7 linked regions of the Oryzias latipes genome follow. The protein of the gene in region 5 purifies or fractionates together with the protein of the main gene of each other region. This does not show direct contact. Links are inferred from orthologs where the notes say so. Each region holds a gene or a part of one and is shown on either strand. Other genes may lie near its edges. The genes, in order: seh1l, nup85, nup37, sec13, nup133, ahctf1 and nup160.

Evidence for each region.
Region 1: the proteins of nup133 (region 5) and seh1l purify together in Homo sapiens (affinity purification with mass spectrometry; 4 studies listed by BioGRID and IntAct, with this or other methods). This does not show direct contact. The link is inferred for Oryzias latipes from reciprocal best matches to the Homo sapiens genes NUP133 and SEH1L.
Region 2: the proteins of nup133 (region 5) and nup85 purify together in Homo sapiens (affinity purification with mass spectrometry; 5 studies listed by BioGRID and IntAct, with this or other methods). This does not show direct contact. The link is inferred for Oryzias latipes from reciprocal best matches to the Homo sapiens genes NUP133 and NUP85.
Region 3: the proteins of nup133 (region 5) and nup37 purify together in Homo sapiens (affinity purification with mass spectrometry; 4 studies listed by BioGRID and IntAct, with this or other methods). This does not show direct contact. The link is inferred for Oryzias latipes from reciprocal best matches to the Homo sapiens genes NUP133 and NUP37.
Region 4: the proteins of nup133 (region 5) and sec13 purify together in Homo sapiens (affinity purification with mass spectrometry; 4 studies listed by BioGRID and IntAct, counting the BioPlex papers as one, with this or other methods). This does not show direct contact. The link is inferred for Oryzias latipes from reciprocal best matches to the Homo sapiens genes NUP133 and SEC13.
Region 6: the proteins of nup133 (region 5) and ahctf1 purify together in Homo sapiens (affinity purification with western blotting; 3 studies listed by BioGRID, with this or other methods). This does not show direct contact. The link is inferred for Oryzias latipes from reciprocal best matches to the Homo sapiens genes NUP133 and AHCTF1.
Region 7: the proteins of nup133 (region 5) and nup160 purify together in Homo sapiens (co-immunoprecipitation; 4 studies listed by BioGRID and IntAct, with this or other methods). This does not show direct contact. The link is inferred for Oryzias latipes from reciprocal best matches to the Homo sapiens genes NUP133 and NUP160.

Annotation. Positions count from the first base shown.
Region 1 is NC_019874.2:7,224,059-7,228,249, forward strand, and holds the start of seh1l (nucleoporin SEH1), read left to right. Parts: upstream 1-1,391; 5' UTR 1,392-1,505; coding exon 1,506-1,616; intron 1,617-1,729; coding exon 1,730-1,780; intron 1,781-1,863; coding exon 1,864-2,010; intron 2,011-2,097; coding exon 2,098-2,309; intron 2,310-2,540; coding exon 2,541-2,639; intron 2,640-2,707; coding exon 2,708-2,848; intron 2,849-2,955; coding exon 2,956-3,110; intron 3,111-4,191. UniProt on the Homo sapiens protein: Component of the Nup107-160 subcomplex of the nuclear pore complex (NPC). The Nup107-160 subcomplex is required for the assembly of a functional NPC.
Region 2 is NC_019866.2:13,017,532-13,020,667, reverse strand, and holds part of nup85 (nuclear pore complex protein Nup85), read left to right. Parts: coding exon 1-16; intron 17-209; coding exon 210-280; intron 281-367; coding exon 368-411; intron 412-990; coding exon 991-1,060; intron 1,061-1,171; coding exon 1,172-1,293; intron 1,294-1,365; coding exon 1,366-1,500; intron 1,501-1,746; coding exon 1,747-1,869; intron 1,870-2,220; coding exon 2,221-2,352; intron 2,353-2,424; coding exon 2,425-2,531; intron 2,532-2,611; coding exon 2,612-2,695; intron 2,696-2,777; coding exon 2,778-2,843; intron 2,844-2,937; coding exon 2,938-3,089; intron 3,090-3,136. UniProt on the Homo sapiens protein: Essential component of the nuclear pore complex (NPC) that seems to be required for NPC assembly and maintenance. As part of the NPC Nup107-160 subcomplex plays a role in RNA export and in tethering NUP96/Nup98 and NUP153 to the nucleus.
Region 3 is NC_019881.2:20,075,347-20,079,628, reverse strand, and holds the start of nup37 (nucleoporin Nup37), read right to left. Parts: upstream 2,801-4,282; 5' UTR 2,711-2,800; intron 1,702-2,710; 5' UTR 1,694-1,701; coding exon 1,538-1,693; intron 1,454-1,537; coding exon 1,332-1,453; intron 1-1,331. Other genes in the region: parpbp (PCNA-interacting partner), read left to right, coding at 3,386-3,535. UniProt on the Homo sapiens protein: Component of the Nup107-160 subcomplex of the nuclear pore complex (NPC). The Nup107-160 subcomplex is required for the assembly of a functional NPC.
Region 4 is NC_019863.2:32,815,987-32,820,279, forward strand, and holds the start of sec13 (protein SEC13 homolog), read right to left. Parts: upstream 2,801-4,293; 5' UTR 2,654-2,800; coding exon 2,651-2,653; intron 2,449-2,650; coding exon 2,404-2,448; intron 1,098-2,403; coding exon 982-1,097; intron 767-981; coding exon 615-766; intron 119-614; coding exon 1-118. Other genes in the region: cullin-associated NEDD8-dissociated protein 1-like, read left to right, coding at 3,541-3,608. UniProt on the Homo sapiens protein: Functions as a component of the nuclear pore complex (NPC) and the COPII coat. At the endoplasmic reticulum, SEC13 is involved in the biogenesis of COPII-coated vesicles.
Region 5 is NC_019859.2:2,082,579-2,085,222, forward strand, and holds the end of nup133 (nuclear pore complex protein Nup133), read right to left. Parts: exon of another isoform or gene 2,338-2,644; intron 2,191-2,337; coding exon 2,072-2,190; intron 2,018-2,071; exon of another isoform or gene 1,987-2,017; coding exon 1,906-1,986; exon of another isoform or gene 1,866-1,905; intron 1,830-1,865; coding exon 1,765-1,829; intron 1,677-1,764; coding exon 1,588-1,676; intron 720-1,587; coding exon 583-719; 3' UTR 501-582; downstream 1-500. UniProt on the Homo sapiens protein: Involved in poly(A)+ RNA transport. Involved in nephrogenesis.
Region 6 is NC_019861.2:24,934,082-24,938,034, reverse strand, and holds the start of ahctf1 (protein ELYS), read right to left. Parts: upstream 2,801-3,953; 5' UTR 2,584-2,800; intron 826-2,583; 5' UTR 820-825; coding exon 699-819; intron 321-698; coding exon 170-320; intron 1-169. UniProt on the Homo sapiens protein: Required for the assembly of a functional nuclear pore complex (NPC) on the surface of chromosomes as nuclei form at the end of mitosis. May initiate NPC assembly by binding to chromatin and recruiting the Nup107-160 subcomplex of the NPC.
Region 7 is NC_019864.2:4,323,576-4,327,502, reverse strand, and holds the start of nup160 (nuclear pore complex protein Nup160), read right to left. Parts: upstream 2,801-3,927; 5' UTR 2,753-2,800; coding exon 2,662-2,752; intron 1-2,661. UniProt on the Homo sapiens protein: Functions as a component of the nuclear pore complex (NPC). Involved in poly(A)+ RNA transport.

The sequences.
Region 1 (4,191 bases), on a different chromosome or scaffold from region 5:
ATAGTTGCTGCAGTTCTGCATGTCACCCTTGTTCTTAAAGATCGGGACCAGAACGCTTCTCCTCCATTCCTCAGGCATCTTCTCACTCTCTAGAATCCTATTGAACAACCTTGTTAGAAATTCCACTGCTGTCTCTCCTAGGCACTTCCATACCTCCACAGGTACGTCATCAGGACCAACGGCCTTTCCGCTCTTCATCCTTTTCAGAGCCTTCCTAACCTCATCCTTTCCAATCTCTGCTACTTCCTGCTCCACAACAACCACATCTTCCTCCCTTCTTTCCCTGTCATTTTCCTCGTTCATCAGCTCCTCAAAATACTCCTTCCATCTTTTCTGTACACTCTCTTGGGTTGTTAGCACCTTTCCATCTCTGTCCTTAATCACCCTTATCTGTTGCACGTCCTTCCCATCTCTGTCTCTCTGTCTGGCTAGCCTGTACAAGTCCTTCTCTCCTTCCTTTGTGTCTAACCTGTCATATAGCTCATCGTAAGATTTCTGTTTGGCCTTTGCCACCTCTCTCTTCACTCTACGCTGCGCTTCCTTGTACTCCTGTCTACCTTCCTCAGTCCTTTCTACATCCCACTTCCTTTTAGCCAACCTCTTCCTCTGGACGCATTCCTGTACTTCCTCATTCCACCACCAAGTCTCTTTACCGTCTTTCCTCTTTCCAGATGACACACCTAGCACCTTCCTACCTGTTTCCCTGATAATCTCTGCTGTAGTTTCCCAGTCCTCTGGAAGCTCATCCTGACCACCCAGGACCTGCCTCAACTTCTGCCTAAATTCCTCACAAGTTCCTAAATTCCTTTAAGACGTTTTGTTCCTGAAAGTATTTGGAGGAAAGCCTGGAGTGTGACCCACAAACTTATGATAAGTAATAAAATGAAAGAAGTTTCTCTTAAAATAATTCACAGAATTTACCCCACCAATCAATTCATGATAAGATACATTAAAACAATTGATCCTAATTGTCCTTATTGCAAAGAAACAATTAACCGCTTTTTTGGAATTTTACTGAGATTAGAAGTTTACAATTTATTGAAAAACAAATCCACCCCAACTTTACTCTGAAGTATGAATATATCATATTTGGTTTTCATAATAAAAACTTGGCCTCTAATAAAAAACTCATAATTAATCTTATTATTATTTTTGGCAAATTTTATATTCATAAACGTAAATTTCCTTCATCTTCTATTTTTTCCCCTTGTTAATCAAACAAATTGAAATGTATATCAGTAACATCTCCAAAAGTCTTAATCAGAAAGCTGTATGTTTATATGAAAGTTGTAGAAACCTGAATGTTTTTATGTAAAATGCATGTAATATGAATGCTCCCCTGGCATACCTGAAGTTTATTTTGTAAAATTGTGTTTTGTATTGTACTTCCGTTTTGTACAATAAAGTTAAACAAAAAAAGCAGGTCTCAAAGCTGGATGATTTCTGCGGTAGGCCTGCTAACGCGCTGGTGAAGCTATCGCTGGCGGCGCGCTGCTACCGGGATCATGTTTGTGGCTCGTAGTATCGCGGCGGATCACAAAGATCTAATTCACGATGTGTCGTACGACTTTCACGGCCGGAGAATGGCGACTTGCTCCAGTGACCAGAGTGTGAAGGTAAGCTAACGTTAGCCTCTGAGCTCGCGCCCGCGGTCCTCGACTGTGATGAACCGTTCCCGGGCTGCCGCGCGGCCATGTGTCACATTCAGAGCTCTGTTTGTTTTTCTGAGGTTTGGGACAAAAGCGAGAGTGGAGAGTGGCTCTGCACAGCCAGCTGGAAGGTAAAACGCCTCCATCCTCACGCCGAACTCCACCTTCTGTGCTGAACAGATGTGAGCCTCCTCCTCCTGGTTTCTCTCTGCAGACACACAGCGGCTCAGTGTGGAGAGTGACCTGGGCTCATCCAGAGTTCGGGCAGGTTTTGGCCTCCTGCTCCTTTGACCGAACCGCTGCGGTTTGGGAGGAGATTGTAGGAGAATCCAACGACAAGCAGAGAGGCTTGAGCCACTGGGTCAGTGCTGGGTTGGGAGCGGGCAGTTGCAGCGACAACCTGCAGCAGGTGGAGGTCATGTGAGTGTTTCTTGCTTCTCCATTCCAGATTAAGAGGACCACACTTGTGGACAGTAGGACATCAGTGACCGATGTGAAGTTTGCTCCTAAACACATGGGTCTGATGCTGACCACCTGCTCTGCGGACGGCGTGGTGAGGATCTACGAAGCTCCGGATGTGATGAACCTGAGCCAGTGGTCGCTGCAACACGAGATCTCATGCAAGCTCAGCTGCAGCTGCATTTCATGGAACCCCTCCAGGTTATATAGCTTTTTCATATTCTGGATGAGCTGACCAGACCATAAGTTTGATGGAGGTTCAGTTCTGCTCCATGTGTCTGTGAAGCTGGGCACAGAGTGTCATTCTAAGTTTCCACATGGCATTACACACAAACGAAGAGCACGTCTGCGCCACTGCCTGATGACAGGTCGGAGTGAAGGCAGGAGCGGCGGATTTCTGCTGAATCATCTCATCTCATCATTCTCTCCCAGCTCACGGGCTCACCCTTCCATGTTTGCCGTGGGCAGTGATGACAGCAACATCGCGAGCGGTGGGAAGGTTCAGATCTATGAGTACAACGAAAACACACGGTGAGCGTGTTCAGCACACAGCGGCCAGAGATGCAGCGGCCTCCTGACACTTCCTGTTTCTTCTAAAGGAAATACGGCAAAGTGGAGACTCTGATGACTGTCACCGACGCAGTCCACGACATCGCGTTCGCTCCCAACCTGGGGAGATCTTTCCATGTTCTCGCTATTGCAACAAAAGATGTCAGAATATTCAAGCTTGCCCCCATGAGGTGATTGTCATCATCATGTGTTCTGGTGCATTTCTCGAAGCACACAGCTTTTGAAATAAAAGGAGGAAGAAAATGAACAGAAAATGTGTCTTGGTTCTCTGGAACAGGAAGGAGAGCTCATCCACCGGACCCAGCAAGTTTGAGGTGCAGATTGTTGCGCAGTTCGACAATCACAACTCCCAGGTGTGGCGTGTGAGCTGGAACATCACAAGCACCCTGCTGGCTTCCTCTGGGGACGATGGCTGCGTGCGGTTATGGAAGGGTAAGAAGCTGGTCCACCTTCAGCAGGAACACAGACGGCTGCCGTCTGTCGGCAATCGTCTGCAGTGCAGCGACCGTTTTCTTATTTTCCTGAGATGGGTACATGATTAATAGAAACATGGCCTCCTCTGGAGGTTCAGTGTTGGACCTCTAATGCTGCGCTCACAAATTTGCGTTGGCCGCTTCAACTGGAACAAATGTCGGATTCGCTGCTGGCTACCTGTCCAAAAATAGGTTCATAATTGTGACGCATGTGGGAGGAGCTAATGTTTATTTGCCTCATGCGTCTTCTACATGAAAGCATTGACTGTATTTGTCGTTTACAATACATGGACGACACAGAAGTTGAGAGATCAAGTCAGTTTATTTTGAAGAGCTCTACTCTCGCTACCTGATGTGTCAACGCATGTGCGCAAAATACATAAAAGCATTTTACGGTCAGAGTATGTCTTTAAATATTAAATGATGATAAGCTCTTAAATGTTTCACAAAATGTACTGCATGTTAACATTTATTTTAATGTTAATGGGGGTAAAACATGGTAGGAAAAAGAAATGTACAGTAAACCCTTGTTTTTCGCGGGGGTTACGTTCCAAAAAGAACCCGTGATAGGCAAAATCTGTGAAGTAGAAACCTTTAATTTTTTTACAATTATTATATAATTAAATAGTCTATTATACATTGAAAAGAAATAACAAACCATTTTACAGGCTCAAGCATTTGTTTCACAAATAAAAGTACTTTAGAAACGTTTTTTTTTCAACAAATAACTTCTGTACTGTACTGTCAAATAATAATTTTAATCATCGATGTGAACAGAAGGCTTCAAATTGCGGAGATTAGCCCCACCCCCATGACCCAAGTAATTGGATTAAACGGGAGAAAATTTTAAAATGATTATGAATAAAATACAAAGTACAGTCGGACAAATAGTGACTCAGGTGTATTTCACTGCTCTGCAGACTGAGCCGCTGCATCCTGACTCCGCTCTGCAGTGTTTTCTTCTTTTGAAGCCCGCGGTGCAGCTGTGTTTGTTTGGGGGAAAGAACATAGTGATAGGAAGATGTTGTTTCTCTTTTTTC
Region 2 (3,136 bases), on a different chromosome or scaffold from region 5:
AGAACAAGAAACCTCAGTAAGTCTCCTGATGAGAGACCGCTCAGCTTACACAAATAATTAGTTTTTATTGACATTTTCTTTTTAATTTTTTGATCAGTGGGATGACATAAAGATTGAAAAAGAAAACAGGCAAAACATCAACATGTAACTATTTCATGTCAAACAGTGTTAAAGTAAAAAAAAAAAACAATTCCTGTTTTGCTCTATAGGTTTGTCAGCATCAGTAAAAACTATAGATCTGTTATTCGAGCCTGTATGGAGGAGCTGCAGCAAGTTGCAGGTTAGCTTCTTTAAACTGAATCATGAAGTGTATCTTCGAATCCTACAGTGTAGTTTTTTATAATGGCATGTACTTTTTTGTTTGCAGTTTCCACAAAAAACGCAGAGATGTCCGTACAGTATGGAAACCAGGCACGTGTTTTTATTCTTTAGTTTCATCTTTTCCTTTTTAGAAATTGTGATTAGTTTAATTTTTTAACTTATTAACGTATAATAGTTTTTTTCCTCTTCTTTTTAATCTTTTTACTATTCGTAATATTTTTTTGTTTCCTCGGATGTGGATTTTAGTGGTCTGTAATAAATACAATTCAAATAATTTTGTGTATAATTTGTTCTTAGGAATTAAAAAATGTGTATTTTTTTTAATGATTTTTAAATCAACCAAGCAGACGTCGACTAGTTTTGATGTTATTTCAAACTGCATTTGTGAGATCTTATTATACTAGAAATGTCTTCTGTATGATCTTGAAACAAACTCTTATTCATGTCGGAGCTTGTTTATTTTGGATTTTTGCTTGTCGGTACAAATATAAATCATTACTGATCTTTTTTGTGGGTAAAGCTGTCATTGTGCCATTATAATATGTTTTAAATGACATATTTTTGTTGCATTTTAAATAGTCAGAGCTCATCTGTATTTTAACCCTTGACTCATCAGTAACATTTCTCTTAAATATTATTTAGTTCCTAATCCAGTCTGTTTTGTTGCAGGTCTCCATTCTTTTAGCTATAGAACTGATCTGGAATCTGTGTGAAGTCCTTTTCATCGATGCTGCTCCTGGTTAGAATCTCAGTTTTTAGTTAACAACAAAATATCTTTTATTATAACTAAACAAAGGCAAGGCTCCATAAAAACCCATTCATGATTGATGTGTGTTTTGCATGCTTTCAGCCGGCTCGCTCCTGCTTCACCTCCTGGACTGGGTGAGGCTGCACAAGGCTGACGTAGACGAAAAGGCTCGAGACGTGCTGCAGAGTGACAGCCCTGCTGAGCATCGAGACTACTGGGATGTGGTTAGTGCGGGACATGCACACACACGATCCGCCTCCACTGGAGATCTCTGAGAGTTTCGTTGTGCTGTGCAGGTGGTGAGTTATGTGCTGCAGGGCAGGTTGGACGAAGCCAGACAGATGCTGGGGAAAAAGGCCACCCTAACGCCTGCTGCAAACAACATCTACAAGATGATGGATAACTTACTCAGCAAGATGCCTTTTTACAATGTAAGTACAATGGGAGTTATCTGGTTTTAGTCTGTGGGTTAAGAATGACTTATGGTCATTTACCTGCCATAAAGGTTAAATCTAAGTTGTGGCCTCCTTAAGAGGAGTTTGCACGACGACTCCTGCATCAGTTTCTTTCTCTGTTTTGGCTGAGGGACTGGTGACCTGCCTTTAAATGTGTTCAAACACATAACGAACCAAACAATTTCAAAATGTCCATTTTCATCCTCACATGTATGTCTTCAGCCTGGTGGCACACAGACACTGACAGAGTTTGACGTTAAGTGGAGGCACTGGCATGAAGAGGTAGACCGCTGCTTGCAGGACAACTCTTTTGCTAGCAACCAACATCTGGAGGTCATCTGCAAGGTCAGTCCATCCGTTACTACTTTTTATGCTATCGTGTATTTTCAAAATGCTAACATTGTTGGTACTAATGTAGGCTTTTCCTAAAAATACGCCCGTTTCTGTTAACAGTTTTAATCACTTCAATTCTTGCTAAATCCCAATGGGCTGATATGATGCATGCTCAAATTATGAAGCTATCGCCGCCATGCTTCACTGTAGGCAATTTCTGGGATATTAAATGTGTGTTTTAATTTCTAATCTGGCACCAAAATACATTTTAGTCATTTAGCAGCACCAGATTAATAAATTGGTGCAAATGTTTCAACTATATGATATAAAATGTTTCAATAATTTCTGTTCTTTATTTTTTAGATCCTCCTGGGTGATGAAGACACTTTACTGGAGCACAAAGACCTCCTGGGAACCTGGTATCACTTCCTTGTCTCAAGACTGCTGTTCTGTCATCCCACTGTAAAGCCCACTGAGTTGCACTACTATGCACAGGTGAACTATTCTACAAAACTTGCACTCATGTCTGCTGCATCCAGATATTAAGTGTACCTGTGTGTTTTGCAGTCGTGTATGACCATGTTTCTGGACTCAAGGAGCGCACCAGAACCTCTGGACAGCATCTTGCTGGCTGCCTTTGAGTTTGACATCCATCAAGTTATTAAGGACTGCAGGTGCAACAATGGGACTGATGCATGCAAGTACACTTATTTTAAATCTACTTTAAACATTCAATTTCTTCCTTTTGCCTCAGCATCGCTCTCAACAACTGGTGGTTTGTGGCTCATCTGACAGACCTGCTGGATCACTGCAAACTCCTCCAGTCTCACAATCTACAGTAAGAACCCTGTGTGCAGATTTAGTTTTTTAGTCTGGAGGTTAGGACTTCTTTTATTCAGTGTTTTTCTGTGTTTTTGCAGCTTTGGTTCCAATTTAAGAGAATTCCTCCTGTTGGAATATGCCTCTGGCCTCTTCACTCATCACAGGTTGGTTTGTTTTTTAAGTCCTCCTTTTAATTATTTGAATTTTTCTGTGAAGGTTTTCCCTTAAAGGATGTCTTTTTGTTTGTCTGTTGATCAGTCTGTGGCAGTTGGCTGTGGATTACTTCGATCACTGCCTCGAGTTTGGTCGTGTCTACCTTGAGCTCCAGATTGAGCGCGTTCCCTTAGACACGGAGCGGAAAGCACTGAAGGTCCTCCGCATTTGTGAACAGAGGCAGATGTCGGAGCAAGGTTCTAAAAGACTCTTTATTCTGTAATCACCTTGGTTCCAGAAATAC
Region 3 (4,282 bases), on a different chromosome or scaffold from region 5:
AATGACTTACTTCCAGCTCAAATCAAATCAAATCAAGTCAACTCAGTTGGTATTTTTTCCACAATCCAGACGCCGCCATGTTGGAGCCAGATGTCATGGGTAAGCAGTGATTGGTTAGAGTTGGTCTGAGTCAACATTTCCATGGTAATCCCTCTCACCAATCAGTTGTTAGAAGGCCACACCCCTAGCACTTAGAAGTAGGCTACACAAAATCTGTCAAAGGTTTCAAGAGTTGCATGTGGCACCACCCACTTTTTTTTAGACTTCTTATTGGTCAGTTTAAAAAAGGCATCAGTGCAAGAATGGTTATTCTGGAAAATAGAATGACTGATTAATAGTCTATGGGATTTTGGCTTCTTGGAGCCAGCAGGTACTTCCTGTTTGGAACCCAAACGGGGAGGGTTCACTCAGTCCAGATCTCATATATACAGTCAGTCTTTCTATAAGAATCGTTGAGGGCCAACGTGTTCAGATAAAGAGGACAATCCTTAGTTTGGATGGTTCAGAATTTTTCTAAATATTTCAGTTTGCTCCTAAAAAAAATTTTTTTTCTTCTGATGAATCTACAGCAAGGAGGGTGGACAAAACACACAAAAACAAAATAAATGATGATAAAATGGCTAGCTTAAACAGGTTTTGCTAACTTGGATACTTTATGGCAACTTTTTAAACACCACAAACACTTAAACACAAATATTCCCAGTCTTTTAACGACTAGAAGCCTGTATTATTCGGATTTCTCTTGGTGGTGGAGCAGCATGTGCTGCCCTCCATCATCTCCACTCACTGCATTAACACAGGACAGCATCTACAGAGTAGTACCTACCAGCTGTTGTCACAAACCTTTACTGCCCCATGTCCCGAATAAAATCATTGTCTTAGGCTCCGGGCTTGCAATAATGATGCATTTCGTAGCATCCATTAAGATTATTCTTAAGCAATTTTGAAAAGGTTTATGGAAATATAGTATGAAAACCAATATAAATGAGTGACAAATTAGCAAATTCAAATACGTTCCATCACCTAAAGCTATTTTCTTTGACATTCTTTGACTTTAACAAACAATAAAAAAGAAAGAAAGAAAGAAAGATACGCAACAAAAGAAAGAGTTTTAAGTTCCCAGCAAGGTCGTCTAACCGTCAGCCGCATAAAGATTTTATTCTACAAAATCAAAGACAACATAAAGGCTTTTGCTTTAACTTCCAAGTTTCAACCTCAACTGTAGATTTTGAAAACAAACCTATTGATCTCCTTTGACTGTTCTCCTGCACATTTATTCTGTAGTATGGATACATTAAATGATCCCCCTTTATCTTATCAAACGGTGATACCTGAGAGTGGGTATTCTATCCAGCCGGGATTCGGGGCTCCAAGCCAGAGCATCCACACGCAAATCATGATGAAAAGCTCGCAGGACGTTAAACTCGACTCCTTCCACCTCCATGTCCTCCTCCTGCAGGGCCACATTTGGTGTCATTAAGGTGACAACAAAAAAAAAAAACCTCCAAACTGTGCTGTGTCAATCTGTGTCAGAAACCTGGAAAAGGCAGGTGGCCACCACCACAAACTGGTTCCCACCATAGGCCAGGAGGGAGGCCGAGGTCCCTGAGCTGAAAGGACTGAATTCTACCACATGGACATAATCGTCACACGGCACCGTATAGGAGGGACTGCGAACAGATTCCTCCTGCATGTTTATCCCTGTCACACAACAGAAAGAAAGGAAACAGATTCCTATTTTTGTTCATTTTTACAAAACAAAAAGAGATACAAGCATGAAAAAAGTAACAACTTTAACATTTTTTCTTTATACATCTCCGGAGCTCCTCTTGCTCAGTTTACTGATCTTTACTCTTTCCACATGTTAACATAAGAGATGGTTTATATGAAAACTCCCAGCACTCTTATTTATTTATTTTACTTCATATCTTTTTTTGGTACTCTAATTTACCAAAATCAGAAGTAAAAAAGATGTTTCCAATAAAAAAAAAGTAACAATAAGCTTTGGATCAAAAAAGTTTTTTTTATATACAGATGGGTAAATTGACCAGATTAGTGCAGAATATATCCCTCAATATATTGATTGGTTAATAAAAGTAATGCAGTTCTATTGCCTCTAACAACTTTTTTTTGTTGCACCAAACTACTTTAACTAAAAACAGTACATATATACTATACTTTAATAGGTTGTATTAGTGTTTTTATTTTATAATACAGAGGTTTAAGATGAATCTAAACAAGAATCAGAATCTATACCAGACTGGAGGACTAACACGTCAAGTTAAAATATTGGCTTGTTGCTCTTTAGCAAATATGCAGTAAGTTTGCCTCTTTTAGGGCATTTTTAACAAGCTACACTCACAATTCTGGTATTGTTTAGCCTAAGCTAAAAATGAATGTGATGAGCAGGCAAGATTAATAGAATACAAATAGTGTATCGTCAAAACCAGAAACTTTAACAGGATTAAAATAGTACATTTTAAATGTTCAAAGAGAACAATATTTTCTTTTCCCGTGATGATAAATTTACGAGTTTAAAAAAAAGAGAAAACGATTTATTTATTCGCAGGAGCAGAAAGAGAAAGCGACCACGATGCTAGAAGCTAATACGAAAAAGAATGGCGCTGTTTTGTTTTAAACCGACTAGGCACAGACTAGTTTTCATAAATAATAATTTTCTGCTTATTTCTTCTAAGAATACATATATTACCGGCGCGTGCGTTTCCTAGTTGCCCGCGCTTGAAGTGTTTACCATTTATTTCCGCATACGACACGGAACGTACCAGTAGTTGGAAAAAACCAAGGGGAGACTGAAAGACGAAAAGATAAACGAATCAAATTATAGACAACATTAGAAAACTTGGAACAAAAATATAAATCGACAAATATGTTCCTAAACATAAATATAATCAATCTGGTTTGAACATTTGATTCTGATTTATTTTTTATTGTTGGAAGCGTCCGATGCAGTTTGCTGAAATCTGATTGGCTAGAAGGTGTTAAACGTCATCGTCATTTAAAATTTCAAAACAGCTGCTCTACGGTGTGCGCCTAGTTCGGCAGAAACATTGAAACACCACAACAGGTTTGAATATTTATTTAAATAGGTAATATTTTATTTTATTTTTATTATTGTGACTTTTTATACCTGAACCTTATACGCATATATATTTATACAGATACATATTTATAGAGGATTTAAATAAGCTGAGAATACAAAACCTTTGGGGGGGGGGGGTACTTTGAACAAGGTTACTGTTCTTCAGTGCAAAAATCATTTGAGTTGACCATTTTCTTGTGCATTTTTTGCTCTAAATAATAACGTGTTTGATGCAAAGATAGATGTATTTATTGTGTCTTCTGTAACCTCTTACTTAAGGATAAAATGGAAGCTTTAGGAGAAAGACTTAACCTGATGGTGAAAACCTTCAGGAGGGAACGCCACAGAGTTTCACAGTCTGAAAGGACCACGGTTCATGGAGCTGACAGCATGCTGATGGTTCTTCAGCTGGCCATGGCCGACGTTAACAAAAAGGTAGTAGTCTGTGCTCTTTCCTGTTAAATGTATAAATGCTGTTCCACTTTATTAATCTCACAGAGGAGAAATTTACCTGTCATGGCCTCTCTGGAGAAAAACAAATCACCAAGCAAGTAAATAAATAGATACATAAATAAACCGTTTTTATGACCTAGTTACACAGAGGAGTTGGTCAGTTTGATGAAATAAATGACCTGCGGTAACATTCATGCCTACACTAGGGGTGTCTGAATATTTTGCTGAAGGAACCTCCCAGTCCCTTCACAGTCAGCTGCAGTGGGTGAGAGCTGTTGTCCTGGATGGATGTGAGGTTGATTGACATCCTCCTCTCACCCACCGAGTCCGACCTGGTCCTCCTGACCAGCCTATTCAGTACCGGTGCTGCTCGTTTCCCAGCAGAAAAACGGCATAGAGGGGAGCAGAGGCAAGCACAGAGTCAGAAAAAGTCCTGAGCAGAGTTCAAACCACCTCCGTCTCCTCAGAAGTTGGTGGTAACTTTGTCCCTTCTTACAAAGGTCATCAGTATATTGCTAGGGTGAACACCTAGGCCAGGGGTGTCAAACTCATTTTCACCGAGGGCCACATCGGCATAGTGGTTGTCTTCAATGGGCCAGATATAAATGATAAATGTAACTAAATGTAATGAAAAACAAATGTACCTACTCCTCAATGTTAAATAACTCATTTATTTGTTTATTATAACTTTTTAAAGTGACAATTACAGTTGCATAGAAAACATATTTG
Region 4 (4,293 bases), on a different chromosome or scaffold from region 5:
ATCTTTTTCACGTCCCACTGCTGATCTCCAGTTAGGGTGAGGAGGGAAATGGCTCCATCGGAGCTGCCGCAGGCCAGGATGAGGCCGAACTCATAGGGACCCCAGCAGACAGAGTTGACTGCAAACACGACAGCAGCAGCGCCATGAACACAAAGACGCGGCCGTTTACCGTGGTCACAGTGACTCTTCAAAGGTCTTCTTTTACATTCTACCCACTAGCTCTTCAGCATAATCAGCGGAGGTCAGCCGATTCTGTCGCAGACAAAAGCAGGAAGTGTTGCATAGCGGCCTTAAGCGATCAGTTCAGCTGATTCCTGCTGATCGCAGAAACAGACGAGGATTTACGCTTCGTCAAAGAGCACGAGCCGCCGGCGGCGTCTCCGCTGTCAAAAGCACGGAGAACGTCTCTCCTGCTTTCGGATCGGCTGAAGTTCCACAGCAACACAAACAACAACCAGTAAAAATGATAACAAACACAATCTAACTCTGGTGTGGAATTACAAACACTGAGAATAGGATAAGAAATGGCATTTACCATAAACACCTACAGAGTAGCTGTAATGGAATGAGCTGGAGTTCTAACACTGGATGAGGGGAAACATTCCCTTACTGACCTGAGGACTCGTGTCCCGTGTACTCGTACATCTTGTCCCAAGCTCCGTTCTCCTCCTTCCAGACGATGACCTTCCGGTCGTAGGAGCAGGAGGCCAGGATGTTCCCAAACATGGGGTGGGCCCACGCCACCTGCCAGACGGGCCCTTCATGGCTGAACGAAGAACACAAAATCTCTCACACGCGAGTTCAGAGTAGAAATGAACTTTTCACGATGAAAGCCGTTTGTGTTTCACGATATTTGTCAGCGTGTATTATACCAGCATAAAGAACATTAAACTAGAAGTTATTCTTCTTGGAGAACACCCACCTGCTGTTCTTTACTGCATTTAACAGAGGATAACTAAGACTTTTCTGAGGATGACTCACCCTCGGAGGTCTGCCACTAGAATCTGTCCTCCGTTCCTGACATCAAAGATCTTGACAGTGCGGTCAGAGGAGCATGTGGCGAGTCGCGTCCCGTAATAATCCATCTGAGCGTCATGCTGAAACACAGAAACATGTATGTGTTCACAGCCAGTGAAACCATTTCTATGTGTCTGATGTTTCAAATGGACATTTTGAGATTGAAAGGGAAACACGTATGCTGGTTATGTCAATCATTATACTGGCACTAAATGAAGGCACAAATCCAGAACTCCTGGATCTAAACCTTTCATGTCAGCCGTTTGAATCTACAGCACCTCTGGATCAGGAAGAGGCTGTTTAAAAACCACCTAGAGAGCGGTGGTCTTCCAGCTGAAAGGGTGACATCATCGGCGTGTGAAGGTCAAAGGTCTTTAGTACTAGTAGGTAGAAAGAAACACTGCAGAAAGGCAGGTCGTTACATTTGGATAAAGGGAAGATTTCTGAGAATTTAACTCCTAAAACCAGAATAAAGACATGAAGAGAACTTTTCAACACGTGTGAGTATTTAGACACGCCATCACTTCCCATCCAACTCACCTGAAGATTTACAGATGCATGAATGCAGATGGGATGCAACTGCCAGGCGTGTCTAGTGTTTAAGTGTATACAGCACAGCGCTTTTAATACTAGAACAAATCATTTTTAATTGAGGATCCTCACATCAGTGAAATCAGGGGCTGGAGGTTGATTTAGATGCTTTTATGCAACAGACAACTGCCTCAATGCTATCAAGAATGAAACATTTTGATGTTGAAGGGAATTCATCCATCCCGCTCAGGATTACAGGGTTGCTGGAGCCTATCCCATCAGGGTTCACCCAGGACACTTCACCCGTGCATCACAGAGACACACAACAACACACATGAACCTTTACAGCATGTCCCTGGACTCGTCAACAAAAAGTTATGTGTTCGTACTTTTAGAACACTGTGACCTCTGATAGGTTGATAACATGTTTGTCTTTCTTGTATGTTCGTTTAAAATGAAGCCCGTCTCTATGATCATGTGTTAGGCAAACGTTTCCCTCTAAAATCATTAAGGGTATCATTCAGGAACAAGTATCACAATAAAATCCAGCCTTTCTGATAAAAGTGGGTCATTTCTTCTAAAGAGATTAAAGCACAAAGAACAAGATGAACTTCAAGAAAACAACAAGACAGACAGAAAAAACACGTTTCCCCCACAAACAAACCTAAGGATAAATGTAATTATAAATCAATATTAATGATTAGTTCCAAACGATAACGATACAGCCCCAAAATAGAGTAATCAAACCACAGTAAAAGTTTAATTGTAAGAACGGATAAACGTGTGAAACAATATTAAACAAATTCAATGTAATTATCCATCCACGGATAGCATAGTGGGAGGTCAAACACTTACAATCATGTCCTCGTGGGAGGTGTCCACGGTGTTAATAACGGAGACCTATAGATTAGAAACAGCAGAATTTTATTTGACCTGTTCATAAAAAAAATAACCATCATTGTTTTTATCTGCAGTGCTAACGCGTCAGCTAGTATTTCGGCTAACGGGAGCTAGCTAACTGTGAGTCTTAGCAGGCAAACGTAAACTTTAAAGATGTTTTTAAGAAATGCTAAAACCATTTTTATAAAGTATTTTAACCAACCATCGCTGCTGTTTAACCCAAAAACCCTTCAACAGTTTTCTGGTCGCTTAGCAATGAATCGACCGGGTTTACAAACTACTCCGACGTGGCAACAAGTACCGCAGACCGCTTCCAGAGCCCGAGACTTGCTTCCGGCGGAAGTGACGCAATCGAAACGTAAGTTCCGCCTACACGACAACAACGCAAAATTACATTTACAAAGCCTGTTGATGCAACGACAGGGCTGCTCCCTGTTCCCTTCTCTGTCTATCTGTCTCTCTGTCTATCTGTGCCGGTCCCAAGCCCGGTTGCTTTGAGAAGGTTGCGTCAGGAAGGGCATCCGGCGTAAAACATTGCCAAGTTTACCATGCGACTTGTTCGCTGTGGCGACCCCTGATGGGAAAAGCCGAAAGAGGAAAAAAAAAAAAAAAAAAAAAAAAAAAAAGTTGATGCAACGAAAGAAGAGTCAAAACATCTTCCTGTAAAATAACAAAAGGTATATTTTCACATTAAACAATCTAAATTTATTTGGGACAATACTCACACACATGAAAGCCAATTAAAAAATAAAGTTATAAATCAGAAAACAATCTATTTACAAAACAACCTTGTATGTTATTCAAACAAATTCATGGCAAACAGAGACTGTAAAACTTCTCTTTACAGTCCATGGTTTAGGATTTCAAAACGAACTCGGCTGTAATGCTCGGTTTGTCCACACGAGGGAGACATAAACCAGAATAAGTGTGCTGTATTTTTAGCTGACCCTGGGGGTGTCAGGTTTAAGGTTAGCTCCGCTTTCTGCCCACCAGCCTCGCCATGTTGTCAGGGTGAATCTGGTTCCCCAGTTCCATTGCTTTCCTACAGATTTAGCATTTATCGGCGTCCGTGTCAGCTGTTAAAGAACCATCATGTCTAACGTGTCCTACCACATCTCCAACCTGTTGGAGAAAATGACCTCCACTGACAAAGACTTCAGGTAAAGTAAGAGACAGCTGCTCATCAGCTGCTCATCAGCTCTGACAGTGAGACCCTTTTTACTCTGACTCGTCATTCGATTGTAGATATTTCTTTTGTCAAAACGTTTGTTTAAGACACTCTGAGTAATGAATATAAAGCAGTGAATGTTAAAGTAATGAACATTTTAATTTAAAATCTGATCAGAGACTCAGAGGAGAAAAGACAGTTATTAAAAGGTTCTTTTTTTACATTTTGCTGAAAATGCAGATGTATTTAGTTTACTAACATTTAAAAAGTGCAAAATTCAAATGACAAAGAAGTGAAAGTAAAAGTTTCATTACACACACATCATGAAACTTGAACACAAACTTTAGAAGTACAACAAGAAGCGAATCCTAAACTCAGGTGTTTGTGTACAGAACGAAACCTTTAAAACTGTTTTAGTTGATTTCTTTGTAAAGATTTGTTTATGTCACGCTTTTGAATCCAAACTATTTCAATTATTAAAATCAAATCACAACTGAAGCTTCAATAAAGAATATGAAAACAAGAGGCGGCATCTCCAAAAGTTGACAACTTCTACAGTATTTTTAGAATAAAACGTTAGACTAATCATGGCCTAAATCTATGCACCAAAGTCACAATTCAACTTAAAAAATGACAGCATCTACAATATGTCCCGTCAAACAAACATGTTTATGTAT
Region 5 (2,644 bases):
TTCATGATAAAAGTCTGCATTATATACACTGATCATACATGATATCACTCCAAAAAAAGATGTCAGTGTTTCTCATTAAATATAAACAATAGAGGAAAACAAGAACAGGAACACCACTTCAAGTTTTTATTATAAACTCTCCTCCTGTCATTTTTGTCAGCTTGCATGAAGCACAGAGCTGTTTTTTTCTAGATTAAGGCTTCTTAGGCAGATTACATTTGTCAGGATTGATGATTAATCCAACCTGCTTTCCGTAGTTTCAATCATCTGCAGCTTTTCCAGCAGAGGATCTCAGCTAGAGCACCAGAGTCGACTTATTTATAGACGAGATCTGCTCCACGTCAGCCGACGGCAGAAAGCCCTGAATGATGCAGCGAAGCGTCTGGAGATCTTCAGAGTCCAGAGATAAAAAAGGCTTTAAGGTTTCACTTTTGACTTCCTGGGAATTGAATAGAGGAGTTTTAGGAAGTGCGACTTATGGAAAACAGAACAAACGTCACTGTAGGTGCAGGAATACAAACGCGTTTATTTAGAAAAGAGCATTTCAAAACAGGGGAGAGAAAAGTCAAAGCTGTGCTGCCGTCACATCTGAGCCTGCAGGTAATGTTCATAATTGGCTCGAAGGACAAACTCAAAGTACGGTTTGGTCTTCAAACTGCTCAGCTCGTCCAGATCCAGCAGCTCCTTGACGTCAGGCAGGTACGTCTGCAGAGAAACACCTGAGAAAAAAACAACGAAAGGTTAGTTTGACAGAACTTCATAAACCTCCACAGAGACGCGCTGGGACTTTGTCTGAAGCCGTGACGGACGGTGTGATGATGTTCCTGGAGCTTGAGGTTCACCTTTAATCTCTCTTTTGTTACAGTTTATATCATCCTTCTCTTTGGTTTGTCATCACTTTTCTTCTATTGGCCCTGACCAGGGAGTTGGCTGCAGTCCCATGGATCTTACATTTCTGAATAATAGCTTCAACTGTAGTCACAGGAACATAAGGCTGCTTGAAAATGATGTAGCCTTTTGCTTTCACATGCTGGTCTGTGATTTTCTTGTTTATGTCCTGAGACGGCCTTTCCCACGTTGAGTGTGGTGCACGCCACGCCACCCTAATGTAGCCCTTTATATAAGGCCACTGACTGATGACAAGACTGTAGACGCCCATGAGGCTAATGAGTGGACTCAACAGTTCCCTTCACATCATTTTCAGTCTCTTCTAGGGGTATCATCCTTTTTGTCCAGGCCTGTTTCATGATTTAGTTTTATATGTATATAATTCCGCTGGTTAAAAAGGAATCTCTGACCTTCATTGGTTAAATTTCATAGAATTTCTGTTTATTATCACTTTTGTCAGATTCAAGTTTTTTCTGTGACCATTGTGAGTTTTGCTTTCATTAACTGAGTGGTGCCAAAAATTTTGTCCTCTTATGTATTTTAGATATTAAACCTTAAGATTTGAAACCATCCTAATCAAACCTGATTAGGATTTTTTCCCTTATTAGTTCAGAGCCAAAAAGCTTTAGGATCCTTTCGTTCATCTCAAGCTGACATTGATACTCCTGTTTTTGTGTTGACCCGATGAGCTTTTCTCACCTTCCTGCATGAGTTTGAGGAGGATCTTGACGAAGATGCTGTCTTTAGCAGCTTCCAGAGGATCATCGTTTCCGTCTGCAGTCGACCAGCTGGAAACAGACAAGTGTGACTAAACGGTAACAGCCAGTGTTTCCGGCGACGCTCCTGTAAGTTACTTCTAAAAAAACATGAACTCACTCGTCCCTCTTGAGAGCTTTGCCAAAGATTTCACATTTTAACGCCTCGATGTCCACGGCGTCCTCCTGCAACACAGCAAATCCTCATGAGTCCACGTTAGAACGGCAATAAAAAAAGAGTTTAAATCAAAGCCGACGTGACCTCTTCCATGTACTGCAGCAGGTCCAGAGCCTTCTTGAAGTCGTACTCGTTGGCTCGTCTGTTGTCGTCGCAGATGTACAGCTGCAGGGGAGACCAAGGAAGCGTTCGACAGGTGAGAAGAAGCCCCGCCTTTCAATGCAAGCTGCGTCCGTGTGTGTGTGTTCACCTGGATGAGGCTGTGAGCGTTGAGCAGAGGCATGGTGTCCGGGTTCTGCTGCTTCTCCTCCAGCAGCTGCCGGGGCAGAGTCTCCTGGTGGAGCAGGAAGCGCTCCTGCTCCACGATCTCTGATCAGACAGAAGAACCACAGCAAATGTGGATTCAAGTGGGCCTCAAGAACCGGCTGGACCGCTGCTAGATGTTCTGAATGGACTTTAAGCCATGTCTTTAATGGAGCCAAGCATCATGTCATTTCTCTTGGTTGTTTATTTTAGGACAGGAAGCAGAGCAGAAGATGCTGAGGTTCTCTTTGGAACCAGGAATGGGACATGAATGGATCCATCAGAGGAACAGATTATAGTCTGGAGATCAGCGCAGGGAAGCAGATGGAGACGTTTGAGAGGAGAAACAGGGAGGATGCTGGGAAAGGATGCTGAGGGTGGAGCTACCAGGAAGGAAGGATGGAAAAAAAAGGATGCAAAGAAAGAAAAAAGAAAGAAAGCATTTACAGAGAAAGAATAAAAGACAAAAAGATGAAAGAAAGGATGAAAAGACGAATGAATGATCGTTAAATAAACTTTA
Region 6 (3,953 bases), on a different chromosome or scaffold from region 5:
TGTTAACATTTTCTTTCTTTTTTTCAGAATAAAATATCAAATTAATTTTCCAAATAAAGACATAAAAAACATGAATGTTGAAAACTATTTTTATTTGTCATTATTGACTCCAATTTAAAAAATTGAAAGCAGATGGATGGAAAACAAAAAATTCTAACCAAGCACAAACCGTTTAAGCCAGCTAAAGTCCCTGGCAGAAAGAATTCTGGGTGGGTGCTCTCCTCCAGTGCTAAAGCAATACGCAGACAACCGCTCCCCCGTTACTGCATGGACAACCTCCAGATGGGGACCACAGGCAAGCCAAGCCAATCCAATGCGGCCTTAACATTCACACACAGAGAAAAGAGTCAAGAAGAAGAAGAATATATGTGGAGAAAAGGGCCTGTAGAAGTTAAAAGGTCTTTTTCCCCCTAATTATATACCTTGCTATGCTTAAAAGTTGTATTCATATTGGTTTGCAAATTTTGTGTGAATAACATATGATTTACACACTTGACAAGTCAAAATAAATATGAAATATTGAAAGAAAAATCAGACAGAAACAATGAAATATTCACAAGATAATAAACAGTATTAACTGCAATATTTCTAGTAACCTATTTTTCATTTGGTGAAAGATGTGACACGTGCAAGTACCCATTCTCACAAGAAAAAGGGAAACAAACAATAACAAAGAAAACACTGAAGCAAATGCTTACCAACAGTGAACCTGGCCTGCAGAACTGAGTCCAAAGTGATCTCATCCTCCCCAAGGGCTTCTATAGTCACTCCAGAGAAGGGCAGCAAGCTACTGGTGACTTGAGCAATAAGATCATGCATTGTTCACTAGGTAAACAAAAAAACAAACAAGGAAAAAAACAAGGATACATTTATTTGTCAGTACTGTTCAAATTTTGTAACCATGTTTACACTATTTTAGCAAATAAAAGAAGAAAAGTGACAGAAACTCTTACAGGATTTTTTGTGCCCTCATTTATGGAGTTTAAAAGAAGCCTGTCTTTCAGACAAGAGCAGTACAGTCAGTTGTCAGGGATCACACTAAAAGATGACAACTGGGGCTGAAACTCGAGCTTGATTTCTAACAAACCCACCCATAAACATCTGTCTGTGCATGTGAGCTCTCTGACAGCTAGCTCTTACAGAAGACTGTAGAAGAAGAAAAAACTTAAATAAGTCAGAAAATTACACAAAGCAGACTTTACTCCAGCTATCTCTCCCTTAAAATAAAAAAGTGAAATACAGTTTAATTATTGAGGGTGTATCGTTTTATAGTTACTTTCATTTACTTGTTACCAATATAAATAAAAAGTGCGCATGTTAATGTTATCTACTTATGTGTTTAGATTAGATCCTTTCATCTTAACACGTGAAGTATAGAAAAACCACGTGGCGGGGTCAGGGGGTGGACAGTCAGTGTTGTTAGGACGGAATGCTGCCCCCTGTGACCATTAAAGAAAAACACAACGAATTCAAGTTAACTCCCGCGCAACAGGTCTGTCATCGACCGCCACGCGAGAAAGACGTGCGGACAGTAGAAATATCAAGAACACTAAACAGTAAATGAGCTCAAATTGACCGCGATTTCTCAAACACACGAAAGCTTTCACAGTAGAACACGTGTCTGCTAAAATTACATACAAATCACCTACAAATGCTAACGACTGAAATCACATTTTTTTCTACGCCGTAAAAAGCCGAAAAAAGCTTTGCCTCAAAAAACACGACCGAACATTTATGTGGAAAAAAGACAAGAAAAGCTATAACGTTTAGATTCTAAACCCTGGTTAATTTTTAAATTGTTCCGTTTGCTAGGAAACTACGCATTAGCTTCTGGTACTACACCGCTAATGCTAAAGCTAAGATCACAAGACGTAAACAATCTACTGTTTGCAGGGTTTAAAGTGTTTTGTTACACACCGACTACCTCAACATGTTTAAAACGTGCTTCTAACCTAATAAAGTAAATATTTAAATGGTCAAATGTGTGTATCAATAACCGCGAGCAACATTTGTGAGCTTATTTGTTAGCATGCAAGGTCAAGCAGGACTCTTATTCGTGAGCTAGCATTTAAGTTAACATAGCAGATACCGTTCAAAAATAGATTAAAAAAATTATTAAATAAGCATTAAAATAAACTAACAACAATCAAATCGTGCTGGGTTTTTGAATTATATCTGAGTCACGCGTTGAGTCGGTTTGGTGATAAACTAGCCTGGCTTGACTGAACCGATATGAGCAAACGCAAATAGCTAACTAGTTGAGTAACATGTTAGCTGAAAGTGTGAATTCAAAATCTGATTAGTTTTTGGCGACTGACAGCCAAATTTATCTAGTGTTAACGTTCTAATTATGTGAATGAATCTGTTTCTAAAACAAGACATGAAACTTAAATCCTTCTATTATCGTAATCTTTCGAACTACAACTAACAGCTCAAACGTACATCACCCTTTTGCTGCAAAACATACATGGATTAGTTAAGCGAGTTCACTGAGTCATCATAGTAATACTAAGTAACTCAAGTTAGTTTGTTAGTCTGGAAAACGTGATGGTTTAGTTTAAGCCGCAAGGCGCTCTACGTTACCTTTGGGGAGAATGCAGGCCTTATAGCCGCAGTTCGTCTGTTTTTTCTGGAATCCGTGTAGATTCTTTTCGTTGTCTGTCATAATCCGACCTCCTATCTAGCACTAACCGTATAAAACACGCCGCAAATAGTTCTAGCTGGTTAGCAAACACCCAATGCTTTTCTGACTTCCATAAAGCAAAGCGCCATTTCGAGTTTTCTTCTTCTCCGACAAAAAGGCTACAGAGAAAAAGTGTTTTATCGCCCCCTTCTGGTAAAACACATAGTGCTCTCTTGTGTTTTTCCGTGACAAAAGACAACTAGTCCAAGTCGACGAAATAGTGCATTGTAAAAGCACATTTAAGACCGTTTTATAAATTCAATTCTGCCATTTATTGTGTTTCAAAAATGCACTTAAAATATCGGAATATGTTAGTGTCATATTTAATATAATATAATCAGCACTGATTACTGGACAAAATTGTTCTACAATAGAATATATATATATATATACACACACACACATGTGACTATATATATATATATATATATATATATATATAGAAGAAAATATATATATATATATATTTTCTATATATATATATATATATATATATATATATATATATATATATATATATATATATATATATATATATATATATATATATATATATATATATATATAGAAGAAAAGACTAAAAAGACTAAAACATTTTCACCAAATAGGGACCTTACAGTTTGAAATCTAACTGACACCACTGGCTACTTTAAACCTCTAATTAGCCAGTCTGCCTTAAAGACTCTCACTATTTCATTATGTGATCATAATAAAATAATAATAGGCACCACACTGAACATAAATAAGAAAATTTAAAAAAAAAAGTTGTTTTGGGGGCTAGAAATGAAATAGACAAACATTTTAAAGATAAATGCAACCAGACAATCTCCATACAGCTTGGTGTTCATGTGACCACAAGTCCATATTTTTTAAAAGCTGATAACCAACACGATTATAGACAATTTCCTTTAAAAAAGACAATTTAGACAATTTCCTTTTCAAAAACAAAATAATTTTTGACAAATTAAAGTTACAAATGTAAATTGGAGCAAAAGAGTCCAGAAAGAACCCCTAAAGACATAAAAAATGAAATCTAATGTTCTGGTCAGTCAGATTGCACCCTTTGTCGCTGTTTGAGCCAAAGCGGTCCTCATGGAAGAAAAGTATGACGAAATTAAACTGTAAAAGCAAGATTGGAATTTGCTATCATGCAGACTGACGAGCCACAACTTGTCTGGGAAATTGTCTTAGGTGAAAATTTTGGAGGGGACGCCCACTGAATGCTCTCATGCTAAAAGGTTTATTTACCAAGTAAAGAACACTCTCCCCA
Region 7 (3,927 bases), on a different chromosome or scaffold from region 5:
TGTTCTGTGAGGAAATGAAAAGTATCCCATTGCAATAACATTTTCATTAAATAGTTTATTTGCATTTAATTTTATTATAAAAGGTTTAAAGGTTGCAAACCAATTGGTTGGCCCACATAGATTTCCACTCAATAAATCTGGGCCTCTTTGCGAAAAGTTTGGATACAGCTTTAAAGTTTGGACACCCCTGCACTAAAGCAATTTGAAAACAGAAAGAGAGACGGGAAGTTTTAGGTTACTGTAACAAATAATAGATGAATCGATTTCTATTACTACGATCCAATTAGATCGTTCTGTCTGAGGCAAGCTGTTAATTGAATTGACCTAGACCAGGGGTCGGCAATCCAACATGTTGAAAGAGCCAAATTGGACGAAAAAAACAAAAAACAAATGTGTCTGGAGCCGCAAAATATTAAAAGCCCTATTTAAGCCTTATAATGAAGGCAACACATGCAATATGTATGTATATTAGCTATATTAGCCTACTATCAAAATGACTAAGTTGCTACAAATACATAATGAGCATTATTAACGATTAAATGTTTATTTACCCTGCAGTGCAGTCAGCAGAGAACGACGCGTCATGTGACTGCTCTGCTGTGCAAGTTTAACTTCATTACAATATCAATGAATTATGTTTCATTGCTTTGATTAAATTAAAGAAATTTAATAAAGAAATCCAATTTTTGATGTCATTTTTATTTTGAGGATTCGAACAAAAAACAAAAAAAAATGGAACGTGCGTGACTGGGAACTAAACAGAGTGCAATAAAACGCAGCCAGCATTTATAAAAAAGAAAACAGCAGCCTTTTGAAAAGGTAAAGTATATAAAATCAAATTAATACAGTTAAGTTTGATTTCTGTGCAAATGCCAAGCAAGTCAGTGCAAGGGTTCACCAGTTCCACAACAGTTCACCACTGGTGTGGAAAAACAACAGTGGACTGAACTTTAGGAAACTAACATGTGAATGGATTTGACATTCATCCTGGTTTACTTGTTTGTTTGGACACAGATTTCATTTATACTTGATGATCTGGAAGAAATCCAAGAATCTGGAAAACTTCACTGTTCAGTAGCAGGAATTTCTGTCTGAGTCACCATTAAGTCAGAGAATCTGATCGATCAAGATGAACCAAAATTGACTCTGAATCGTATTCAGAACCACAAATTAAGATATGAATCAAATCATTGTTAAAATGAATCTTTACACTCTTATTACTGAATGAATGATTGCATGAGACATAAACAGGAATCATAAAGCTACTGGTTCCATAATAAGTCACCTTCTCTAATCACAGCAGGTATTTTATCATAGAAACCTTCAGCCTGTTGCTTCCTTTTCTACTAATTCTTAAGCTTAGACAGAGTGGACCCACCCCCAGAATGAAGACGGTTAAAGCTTTTACAGATTTCTCTTCTCTATTTGAGTAATCGGCTGTATTCCAACTCTCCTTTGCATCCATTTGGTTTTCCTGTAGACCTCTTTCCTGGTAGCTCCAGCTCAGAGCCACCATCTCCATGTTATCTTTAACATCTTCTAGGGCTGCACGATGAGGAAAACTTGCGACATGTGATTTTAATGATCAATATCCTGATGACGATATAACAACCATAAAACATCAATTCCGTTTCACTGCGACAGTTTAAATAAGAGGCGACATAACTTAAATTATACTCCAAATGACCTTCGTCCACATATGAGATGAACATCTAACATTAAAGGGCTCCATCTGATTGGTCAAATGCATAAATGGATTTATTTGATTGGTTAAATACTTCAAGCTGCCATAAGATTGTTTTGGCACATTTAAGGTCACCATTTATTGCAATTTTCGCCGCCGCTTGCGATATGCATATTTCACAGCTTGATACTGCGATCACAATAATTTACGATTTATTGTGCAAGCCTAACATCTTCCTTTCACTCATCACCTCCAGAACATCTCACCTGTGTCTTCCAGCTCTCATCCATGTCCTGAACAACTCCAACCTTCTTCACTGTCACTGCAAACCACAGCTGCTGTCTCTGGATCATCCTGTCATAGACTTTCTCTGGATCTACAAAGACACGATGCTGCTCCTTCTGATCTTCCCTGTTCTTCTCCAGAAACATCCTCAAAGCAAAGAAAGCATCTGTGCTTCTCTGCATGAAACCAAACTCTTCACAAATCTGTTCACCTCTAACCTCAACCTAGCTTCCTCTACTTTCTCAGAAACTTCATTCAGTTTTATACCTCTGAACGTCTGAATCCTAACACGTCTCCATTCCTCAGACATCTTAGCTCATGAAGACCTTGACAAACAACAGTCAGAAACTCTTCTTCTCCCATGATCCATCTCTCCGGTGCAGGTTGGTAAACCGGAACACGGCCGAGCCAGAAAGAAAGTTAACATAAACGCAACAACTCTCCTCCAGCTTCGCCTTCTCAAAGAAACAGACGGTGGTTCTGACTGAAGCATTTTCAGCGGGTCTGCTCTGACCCACTGACGGTTTTTTGGGATCTGAGCAGCAGCGGCGGCGCCGCGCGCACGCGGCAGTACACTCCAGGCGTGTGTGATGAGGCTAGGCCCGAACAGTTCGCGCGGGTCACACGCTCAAGTTCGGGTCCGGTAAAGCCGGTTGGCATACGATCCGGTTTGTGATGTCAGCTAGGCTCACCTGTCTGAGTCACGGTCACCTCTCGGAAACGGCACGCGCCGCTTCGCTCGAACCCGCAGATCTCGATGTAGCTGCGGTCCAGGGCCGCCATCTTGTCTTCGGGCTACGGCGCGCGCGCACAGACTTCAAACTGCCGCCGCCTCTTTCTTCTTCTTCTTCTCTTCTGGTCACTGAGGCTCCGGCGCCCCGCTCGGTTACACGAAGAACTCCTTCATTACATTTATTACCTCCGTTGGGGTCGAAAACTATGGAAGCATTTGTGTAGCATAATTAAAAATAAAAGTCAAGAATAAAAGTCAAGAACAGAAGTGATTTTTCATTTTCAAATTGAAACTGCATCAAATAGGTTGTTGTGTAACCCTTGTGCTATCCTAGGCACTTTAACATTGGGAGTGGGGTCATCTAGACCCACTAGACAGAGCTCTGAACCTTTTTTCTTCAATGATTTGTGATCTTCACTGGTGTCCATGGATTACATGAAATCTTTCCACCTTTATCCACCTTTGTCATGGTAGGGAGAACACGTCAATGTAAGGGGGGGGTCATCTAAGATAGAACAAGGGTTAACCCTCATGTGGTGTTCGGGTCTGTGGGACCCGTTTTCATTTTTTATCAAAAGAAAAATGATACAATTAATAAACTTTTCAAACTCAGACTCACTGGCCTTGGCTCATTTTCTGTGAAGAACATATATCAGAATACATTTTTAATGACCACACACCGTATACCCCCCCCCCCCCCCCCCAACACATTTCTATTACATACAAGATGTTTGGGTCCACTAAACCCAGGGCTAATAGAAGTGTGGAAATTGATGTTTTATGTACCTACACTCTGTCCTCCACCTGCCTGGGCCTGCTGTGTGTGTGTGTGTGTGTGTGACCAGTGAGAAAGAGAGAGAGAGAGTGGCAGAGAGAGAAAGATTCACTGTAAATGTGAGTTCTGTTTCTGCACCTGCGGTTCCCGCACAAGGTTGCAACATTGTTAGAATAATTCAAGCATCAACTCTGCGGGCGCCTGTGTTTGGCAGCGGAGCCGCCACCAGTGTGTGAATGTGTGTGTGACTGGGGGTATGGGTCTGTGACTGTAAAGCGCTTTGTCCTTGTAGGAAGAAAGGCGCTATATAAGTATACGCAATTTACCATTTACCATTTAGATTGAGCATCAGCCAGTTCCAAAACGAAGCCATCAGCACCCAGCCACAGGACCAGGCCGTCAGCAGCCAGGACCATGTGTTGTACAGGCTAGTGGCTAGAAGGCCATGTG